Linked DNA regions of Saccharomyces cerevisiae S288C. The protein of the gene in region 1 purifies or fractionates together with the protein of each later gene. This does not show direct contact. Each region holds a gene or a part of one and is shown on either strand. Other genes may lie near its edges. The genes, in order: MDM30 and FZO1.

Evidence for each region.
Region 2: the proteins of MDM30 (region 1) and FZO1 purify together in Saccharomyces cerevisiae (affinity purification with western blotting; 5 studies listed by BioGRID, with this or other methods). This does not show direct contact.

The regions. Positions count from the first base shown.
Region 1 is NC_001144.5:855,573-859,836, forward strand, and holds MDM30 (SCF ubiquitin ligase complex subunit MDM30), read left to right. Parts: upstream 1-1,967; coding exon 1,968-3,764; downstream 3,765-4,264. Other genes in the region: 40S ribosomal protein uS8 RPS22B, read left to right, coding at 870-1,002, 1,486-1,745; Hsp70 family ATPase SSQ1, read left to right, coding at 3,980-4,264. UniProt on the Saccharomyces cerevisiae protein: Substrate recognition component of a SCF (SKP1-CUL1-F-box protein) E3 ubiquitin-protein ligase complex which mediates the ubiquitination and subsequent proteasomal degradation of target proteins. Probably recognizes and binds to phosphorylated target proteins.
Region 2 is NC_001134.8:585,761-591,029, reverse strand, and holds FZO1 (mitofusin), read left to right. Parts: upstream 1-1,915; coding exon 1,916-4,483; downstream 4,484-5,269. Other genes in the region: DTR1 (Dtr1p), read right to left, coding at 1-1,289; EHT1 (medium-chain fatty acid ethyl ester synthase/esterase), read left to right, coding at 4,868-5,269. UniProt on the Saccharomyces cerevisiae protein: Essential transmembrane GTPase, which mediates mitochondrial fusion.

The DNA.
Region 1 (4,264 bases):
AGAAGTGCCAGTAAGACGACACCCTATTTTTCAAGTCCAGCATTGGAAGACTTCCAATGAACACTCTTATCATTATTCTTTATGCATTACGTTTCGCAGTAATCCTAGAACCCTAACTTTTTCTAAAATTACCGTCAAAAATGACGGACGCAACTTTTCTCAGAAATTTTTTTTTTCATTTCTCTTAAAAAGTTTTCTACGCTGGATAAATTGTTCTCTTCCCTTTGAAATATGGAGACGTTCAAAGTCAATTTCCACACATTTAAGGTGAACAAATAAATTATAAGATACCACATTAACAACAAGTATGTGGACGAGGTGTGGTAAGATCTCCGCTGAGGTTGATTGAAAAGTATTGGGTAAATTTGTACTTTTTGTCTGCTGCTGGTCGTTTGTCTTTCGTTTTAAAATTGCGCTAGACAAGTAAACAGGGATTGCTTAAGAATCAAAGTAGCTTAACTCTAAAGTATTATTTTCCTCAGTTGTGGGCCCATGTGTTGGAGGGAAGGAATATATTGAAATGTAAATGTTCTTAAGTTCGGTTGAACTTGGATATTGTTACAAGAGTTCTAGTCTTTGATACCATTTTTACGCAATTACAACCGCATTATTTACCTTTTCATCTTCAGTTTTACGGTTCAGTTTATTCTGTTACGAAAGAACTATGGTGATTCAAAGGCGAAGTGCGTAGGATTGTAACTCCTATATCTTTAGGATACTTACAATTTTGTACTGTTTTCAAGACCACTGTAACCGATAATAAACCGGAGGACACATTTTAACCCACTATTTTTTTCAGAAGATCAGATGCGAGAGCTCGAAGCATAAGTATAATACTAACGTTTCAAAACATAGTAATTAGGTAAAAAATGACTCGCTCTTCCGTTTTAGCTGATGCTTTGAATGCCATTAATAACGCCGAAAAGACCGGTAAACGTCAGGTTCTATTGAGACCTTCTTCCAAGGTTATCATCAAGTTTTTACAAGTTATGCAAAAGCATGGTATGTTCCAACTATTTTTCAATATTTTCACATGTGTTTCAATTTCTGCTTATTTTTAAATGTTACCACGAGGTTTGTCCAAGTTCAATGTTGCGCAACTCTAACGAAGAAATAATTATTGCCATTGTTTTTTACTCCGGGCTGATAACTAGATGGTGTGATCGGGCAGTATACTAATTTATACTGGACAAAGACTCGTAAAAGATGTTCTTTGTGCTTAGTCCCATACTGTTTTTTAAGTGTCCGGGATATTTAATCCCATGTGGAAATGCTTCTTACACGGTTATGGATTACACCTCATGTGTAGCTACTATATCCATTACCGTTTACTTTTCCTCAAAATCTCACTCTTAAAATTTTCAATGGCAAAATTCTTCCGCACAACTTAGACAACATTTTCTTGTTTTTTATGAAGTAAGCAAAAATTTCGAATCAACAACGCTCCATGAGATTCTTCAATACTAACATTTACTCCTTATTTAGGTTACATTGGCGAATTCGAATACATTGACGACCACAGATCTGGTAAGATTGTCGTCCAACTGAACGGTAGATTGAACAAATGTGGTGTTATTTCCCCAAGATTTAACGTTAAGATTGGTGACATTGAAAAATGGACCGCCAACTTATTGCCAGCCAGACAATTCGGTTACGTTATTTTGACTACTTCTGCGGGTATTATGGACCATGAGGAAGCTAGAAGAAAGCACGTTTCCGGTAAAATCTTGGGTTTTGTCTATTAAGTAAGTTTTTAGTAGTGGTACATATATAATATTAATTCTTATATCCGTCTTTTCTCTTTGGTTATTTTCTCAGCTTCAGATATTCAAGGAACCGTATTTTTGCGTAATAGCGAAAAATTGTTTATGTTACATAATAAGTGAAAGCTGGAGGAGCATATGTATAGAATCGAAGAGAAACCTGAACAATTTTTCGGTATTAGTTACTAAAAGGCTCACATATACATGACAAAGAGGAGAAACCTCTTTATGGTTGGTTCTTCCTTCACAATAGATCATTTACCTCCAGAAATATGGCTTTGTATTTCTAAGCTGGTCGGGACGTCTGACCTGCATAACTTGTGTTTAATTAACAGAAGATTGTATTTGACAATTACAAGTGATGAAATTTGGAAAAGAAGATGCTATGACCGATGGATAAATCGAGAAAGCTTAGATATTTTAACTGGTAATGATTACGATTCTATACCCGTCTCTCAATGGTATTCTTACTATTTAAGAAGAGCAAAATGGGAGAATAAAATTTTTTGTCTATTATGGGGGTTAACTGAAGAAACAAATCCCCAACATTTCAGAGAGAAATATTTGCATATCCTCCAATTTAGACATTACAAACTGGCTACATTTCTGCATAGGATTATAAAACAAGGCTACATACCTGATAAAAGACCACTTGATTTAATCACGTATGCAAACTATCTGTTGAAAAATGTGCGACATAAGTACGTATTTCCTTTATTTTATCCCACAAATGCCGCTGAATTGAAAAATCTTAATAATATGGCCTCAAGGGATGCTGAAATGATATATTTAAGATTATCTGCCATTGATACGTCTTTTGATGACTTACTAGATGCTAGAGAATTCATATTAAATGGAATATGTTCCGATCTACTACAAAAGTATAAAAAAATTGAAGAGTTTTTGAAATTACGACCGGTGACTAGGGTTTCCAAGTTAATCTCAATCAGTACTGACTATCTGGACTGCTTCACACAACCTCATGATTCAGTGGGTCAAACAAATGATAGGGCCACAGGAAGGGAGCTACATAGAGAGGATTTCATGTTACTAAGAGTATATTCCCGAGAAGGACGAGGTTATAAAACTATCATTCTAGCAATAATACAGGCTATCACTAAGAGATATAACGTTGATTCATATCTTGCTCGAGATCATTTGGTGGTGTCTGAACCAGACTTTCCAGATGGACGGGCATTTGTTACCGTGAATGAGGATTTCCAGCCATACATTTTTGATAAAGAGGACCTTTTGAGCGTTTGGTCGAACAACTTCCATAACGCAGAAAATTTTGAAAGTACAGTTTTACCAGCATTATTAGAACCAATATCGATACAACATCTTCTGACGGAGTTCTTTCGAGAACTGCTGCGATGCAAGCCCAGGCCATTTGAGGGATATCCAAACAGAGCACACGGATTACGCGATATGTTTCCATACGGAAAAGTGGAAGTTCCCAGAGATGTGACGATGTATTTTGCATTTATATACGATCTTTTCGATGGCATGTTTGAATCTGGAATGACAAGTTTACGGGGCCAGATGTTGAGAGATTTACTGAACTACGTTAACGCTAATAATTTTGGTGATTTGAATATCATCATTGGACAAAATGCTCTTAAGGAACCAAATGACTGCTGGTCCAACAAGAGGGATTACGTTCTTCTTGATGACAATAATAAGATTGGATATTTCTATACGGATATTGAAACTGAGGATACTTTATGTGCCTTAAACCAATATGAAGTGGACGGCAAAGTTTTTATAACAACAATAGATATCTTGGGTGATATAAGAGTACGCCTGGCTGAAGGACTAACGCCTTTTCAGGGAGATAATGATAAGTTGTGGGAGAGCTTTTCTTCCGTTGTTCCACGAACTGACTGGGGACTTTTTTTCAAAGGCTATGACAAAGAAAGGCGTAGAATGCAATTAAACCCTTACATAGAGGAAAAGCTTTCCAATCTAGCGAATGATGAACAGCCTTTACATAATTTATAGTCATATTTAAGGAGGTTTCCAAAAGTAGCATCCTGACACATTCTATTACACCTTTTTTTATCAGCCCGAGCGGCCTTTCCTTAACGGTGTATACATTTTCTAACAGTATTAAGTCAAAAACAGCAGCATCAAAAGTACGACTACTTTTACAAGATTTCTTTAGATATTTACTTCACATAGAAGAAGAAAATCAACGGAATAAAAATCCAAAAATCATGCTTAAATCTGGTAGACTCAACTTTCTCAAGTTGAATATCAATTCACGATTACTATACTCAACGAACCCTCAACTGACTAAGAAGGTCATTGGTATCGACCTGGGTACCACGAATAGTGCTGTTGCATATATCCGTGATTCTAACGACAAAAAATCAGCTACAATCATAGAAAATGATGAAGGACAACGAACCACACCATCTATAGTTGCCTTTGATGTCAAAAGCTCGCCACAGAATAAAGATCAAATGAAAACTCTTGTAGGGATGGCAGCTAAAAGGCAA
Region 2 (5,269 bases), on another chromosome or scaffold:
CGAAGATAATCTGAGAGGTGCCCACCAGATTGAGATCCTAGTAACATAGCTACACCTGGGCAGACATAAGCAGCACCAATTTCTAACATAGTAAAACGGTAGTCATGTTCAAGGTAATACGAAAACGTGACGCTGAACGCATAGTAACTGGAGAACAGGAGTGCAGTACTGACGGACGTGATTATTATTGGAGGACATTTAATCATTTTCCAATATAGTGTCAAACCTGCTTTAGGCGGCTTTGGAAAATTTTCTTGGAAGAAAGCATCATTATTGACTGGTTTACGGATACCAATGTCTGGGAACAGACGCCGATGTGATATTTTATTACCTTCGAAGAATGGAGATTCGTTATTTTCACGTTCATCTTTTTTGTCACCCCATTTAGGGTCTCCATTACCAACTATACAACGTAGCGTTTCTGGAAGTAAAGCAGTAACCAAGATCAATGCTATTCCTGTCATGATAGAAGTGAAACCAAAAAGCCATCTCCAGTAATTTCCTTTCATTAAAATAAGCCCAGCAACAATGGGTGCTATAATAGGACCCATGTTTGGACCCATCATGAAATACGCTATGGCCTTTCCCCTGTGTTTTGGAGGAACAACGTCTGTTACAGTGCCAGCTCCCAGAGAAATCACAGAGCTGGAAGCGAAAGCTTGGAAAATTCTTAAAACAAAAAGGGCAGCAATATTGACTGGTACAGCGGCCAAAAGTATATTAACAATTAACATTAGTGATAACGACACCATATATAAGAATTTCCTTCCACCAAAATCCGCCAGTGCGCCCCAAAACAATGGACCAACGGAAAAAACAGCCATAAATACAGAAACTGTAGCGTTTATTGTTGTTGCACTTACATCATATTCCCTTTGCAGCAATGGTAAAGCCGGTATATATATGTTTCCAGACATTGGGCCCAAAAATCCTATAAAAATGATAATTCCAAAAATGATTAGTCTTTGATCCTTGGAAAAATAAGTATATGGAATATGTGCTTGAGTATCAGGAGAAGGGTCTCTTGACTGGGAGTTCGATGACTTTACAGCAACTTCCTCTTCTTTTGTTTTTGCTTTCTGTGCTGACAATGATGGGGAAGAGTCAGGGTGCTCATGAAAGACATCATGATCTATATTGGCTCTCTTTTGGTTCACCTGATCCCAGCTTTCATTAATTACATCATCTCCTAGATCTTCTAGCGAATGAAATGTTGAGCGGGTTGTTCCACTTTCTTGCGAATTAATTTGCAGACCCAAATTCTTTTTCTGAAACGGTTCGCTTCCCATTGCCTTAATTCTTTTCCCAGCTCTTGAAACTCTTTTTTGAAAAATTACCAACAACAACTTTTCTTACTACCATCCTTCTAGCCTTATCAATATTCTCATATATCTTAAAATTGCAATTGTTGTTACAAAGGAGTTTGTGTCGTTTTTCACCAGGTGACAGAATGTCTGGGTTGAAAGTATCAATGAAAAAAAAAAATGTAGAGAGATGCCAAAACAGTGGCCAACAGGCAGCTTTGGCTACGGAAATGATTTGGAAACCTGCATAAGTATTTCTCCGCGAAATTGGGAAGAGTGATATGGATAGTTGTGATCCACGGTATATAATTCCTTGTGATCCCTTATCTGGCAAGATAGCTATAGTATTACTAATACGTGGCGCTAGTATAATAACTCGCGCAAAGACCGAACGGAGATTAATATTTAAAAGTTGGTGCGCAGTCCGGGTAAATACAGCTTTTCATGCTGAAGAATATGGCCGGGCTAATATTAATTAAGACGGACGATGCATTATTGAAACAGGATAACGCAGGTTACAGTAGCCCTTAATAAATAAAGCAAAGTACATCCGAACATAGCAACATTATCTGATATCACGGATAGAGGCAAAACGGTAGGCTCATTTAACGATGTCTGAAGGAAAACAACAATTCAAAGACAGCAATAAACCGCACAAGGACTCCACAGATCAGGACGATGATGCCGCCACAATAGTACCACAAACTCTTACTTACTCACGCAACGAAGGTCATTTTTTAGGCAGTAATTTCCATGGAGTAACTGATGACCGTACCACTTTGTTTGATGGTGAAGAGGGGCGTAGGGAGGATGATTTGTTGCCCTCATTGCGTTCCTCCAACTCAAAAGCACACTTAATTTCTTCACAACTTAGCCAGTGGAATTATAACAACAATAGAGTACTTTTAAAAAGATCTATATTAAAGACACAAGCTTTTATGGATCAACTTCAAGAAGAAAATAATATTCGCCCGATTTTTATTGCTGCAAATGATGAACGGGAAAAATTACATGTTCTACAACTGAATATCAAGCTAGATGGTCAGTACAATACCAAAGAAAAGAACGGTTTCAACATTGAGAAAAAAGCTTTATCAAAATTATTTCACTCTCAGATCGTATCAGTGACAAATCATTTAAACGCTTTGAAAAAAAGAGTGGATGACGTTTCATCTAAAGTATTCATCACAGGTGATGTAAATACTGGTAAATCAGCTCTTTGCAACTCTCTATTAAAGCAGCGTTTGCTACCTGAGGATCAGCTACCATGTACCAATGTATTTTCCGAAATACTAGAGGCTCGGGAAAATGACGGCATAGAGGAGGTTCATGCCATACCACTAAACATTGCTCCGACTCTCAAGGAAGCCATTGATATGTATTCAATACAAAATCCCAAGACTTATGAAATACACACTTTGAAAGAACTTCCCGATTTGGTTCCCCAAAACGGAAAATATGCTTTACTGAAGATTTACATAAAGGACGATAAAAGGCCTGCCTCTACTAGTCTATTAAGGAATGGTACTGTTGATATTTCATTAATTGACTCCCCTGGGTTGAACATGGACTCGTTACAAACCGCCGAAGTAATGTCCCGACAAGAAGAAATCGACTTAGTTATATTTGTTGTCAATGCAGAGAACCAGCTAACACTATCTGCCAAGGAGTTTATTTCTTTAGCATCTCGTGAGAAAAAATTAATGTTTTTTGTTGTGAAAAAATTTGACAAAATCAGGGACAAACAACGTTGTAAGGAGTTGATCCTAAAGCAAATCCGTGACCTGTCCCCAGAAACATATAAACGTGCAGCTGATTTTGTCCACTTTGTTTCCAAAAACGGAGATGAATTGCCACATTATCATAATGAAAATGACAATGAAGATCATGGTGACCGAAAACCTGACGACGACCCATATTCTAGCAGCGATCCCGATCCGGATTTTGACAGTCTGGAAGATTCTCTACGCAATTTTGTTTTGAAGAAAAGATCACTTTCTAAATTGTTACCTGCCAAGACTTATCTATCGAAATTATTAAGCGATATAATAATGATCTCCAAATCTAATATGAAAATGTATAGTGAAGAAGAAATAAAAATTAACGAACAACTGGAAACATTGAGACCTGAAATTTTGAGCGCTAGAGCAAAGTGCAATGATTTAACAACTTCCGTTGATCAAATGGCCGAGCAAACAATTACAATGACTTATAACAATACTAAAGAAGCACTTCTCAATGCGTTGGATGTTCCGCTACACGAATATCCGAAATATCAGGGCCTCGGTCAAATTTATGACTTCATATTTTCAACAGAAGCGTTCATAGCAAATCAGATTGATGAGTCAATAGGATCAAGTGAATTATTTGCCAAGCAAAAGACAGATTTACTGGTAAAAAAAATTTATGAGATTGGAAAAAATGAACTTGGTGATGATTTCATGTGTGAACGTGTTTTCAGAAGCGAACTAATGTTTAGAAAAAGGAAGCATTTGATAGGAAAAAGGCTTAAAGTATCTTTGTCAATAACTGATTTGTTTGCTCCAACTTGGAAAGGCTTTTTGTCTTACTTAAGCTGGCAGAAACCTGTCACAGCACCACTGCCGGATATAGAAGGACAAACTAACGAGGGTCAGATTGGCCTAATGAAGTATTTGGGTTTGAAAAATTATCCTTTGACACAATATTGGTCAAGACCATCATTGCTCTTCACATCAAAAATTCCCACTCTAACGCTGTACTTTCTAGGAAGTACAAAGGTTGTGGGGAACATTATATTAAACGGCATTAAATTATCGTCGTGGAGCTCACTCAAGAAGTTATCAGTTCCGGTTATAGTGGTAGGTTCCTTGTTGGGACTTACGTATTTAATTCATGACCTCCCCCGTGCCTTACCAATGAATCTTTCCATTAAATACAAAAGAAAGTTGCAAGAACTGGATTACATTCATCTTAACGCTCAAAGAACCTCAAATGAAGTACGTGATGTTTTGCGTGTACCTACACGTGAAATTCTAAGGTCGTGTGAAATAATTATGGATAAAAAACAAATCACTAAGAAAGAATTGGAAAACAAAAAAGAAAGTAACTTGTTGTCAATCAAATTCTTCCAATCTCTATACGAAGGAACCGTGGCTCAAAAATTGATGGTGGAAGAAATAAATTTAGACATCGATTAGATATTCTTGTAAATATATGAGGTCTTTTCAAATCAATATACATAATGTTACTTATTATTTTATTCCAAGCAGGTCCATTTTTTTTTTCACTTTGCACGAAATTACATAAACATTAAAAGGACCCTTGTGTATCTGCTTAATGATTTGCAAAACCTGCGGAAACGGAACGAAAAATGAGCAATCTCGTTCCGGTTCCGAGATCCTTTTTTTTTTTTAAATCTTGCGCATGTGCAGATTTTAAAAGGCGTCAGATATCGGATGTCCCTGGAAGTAATAGCTCCTCGAGTATTTCCTCCGTTTATTATTAATATGAGCAGTTTTTTAAGTTCTATTATTACATTGATAGTAGTTGCGTAAAAAACAAAGCTCATAAAAGTTTCCGATATGTCAGAAGTTTCCAAATGGCCAGCAATCAACCCATTCCATTGGGGATACAATGGTACAGTTTCGCATATTGTCGGTGAAAATGGTTCCATTAAACTCCATTTAAAAGACAACAAGGAGCAAGTTGATTTTGACGAGTTCGCTAACAAATATGTCCCAACGTTGAAGAATGGTGCCCAATTCAAATTGAGTCCTTACTTGTTCACAGGTATTTTGCAAACTTTGTACTTAGGTGCTGCTGATTTCTCTAAGAAATTTCCTGTATTCTACGGCAGGGAAATTGTCAAATTCTCGGATGGTGGAGTTTGCACCGCTGACTGGCTCATAGATTCATGGAAAAAGGATTATGAATTCGATCAAAGTACTACGAGCTTTGATAAAAAAAAATTTGATAAAGACGAG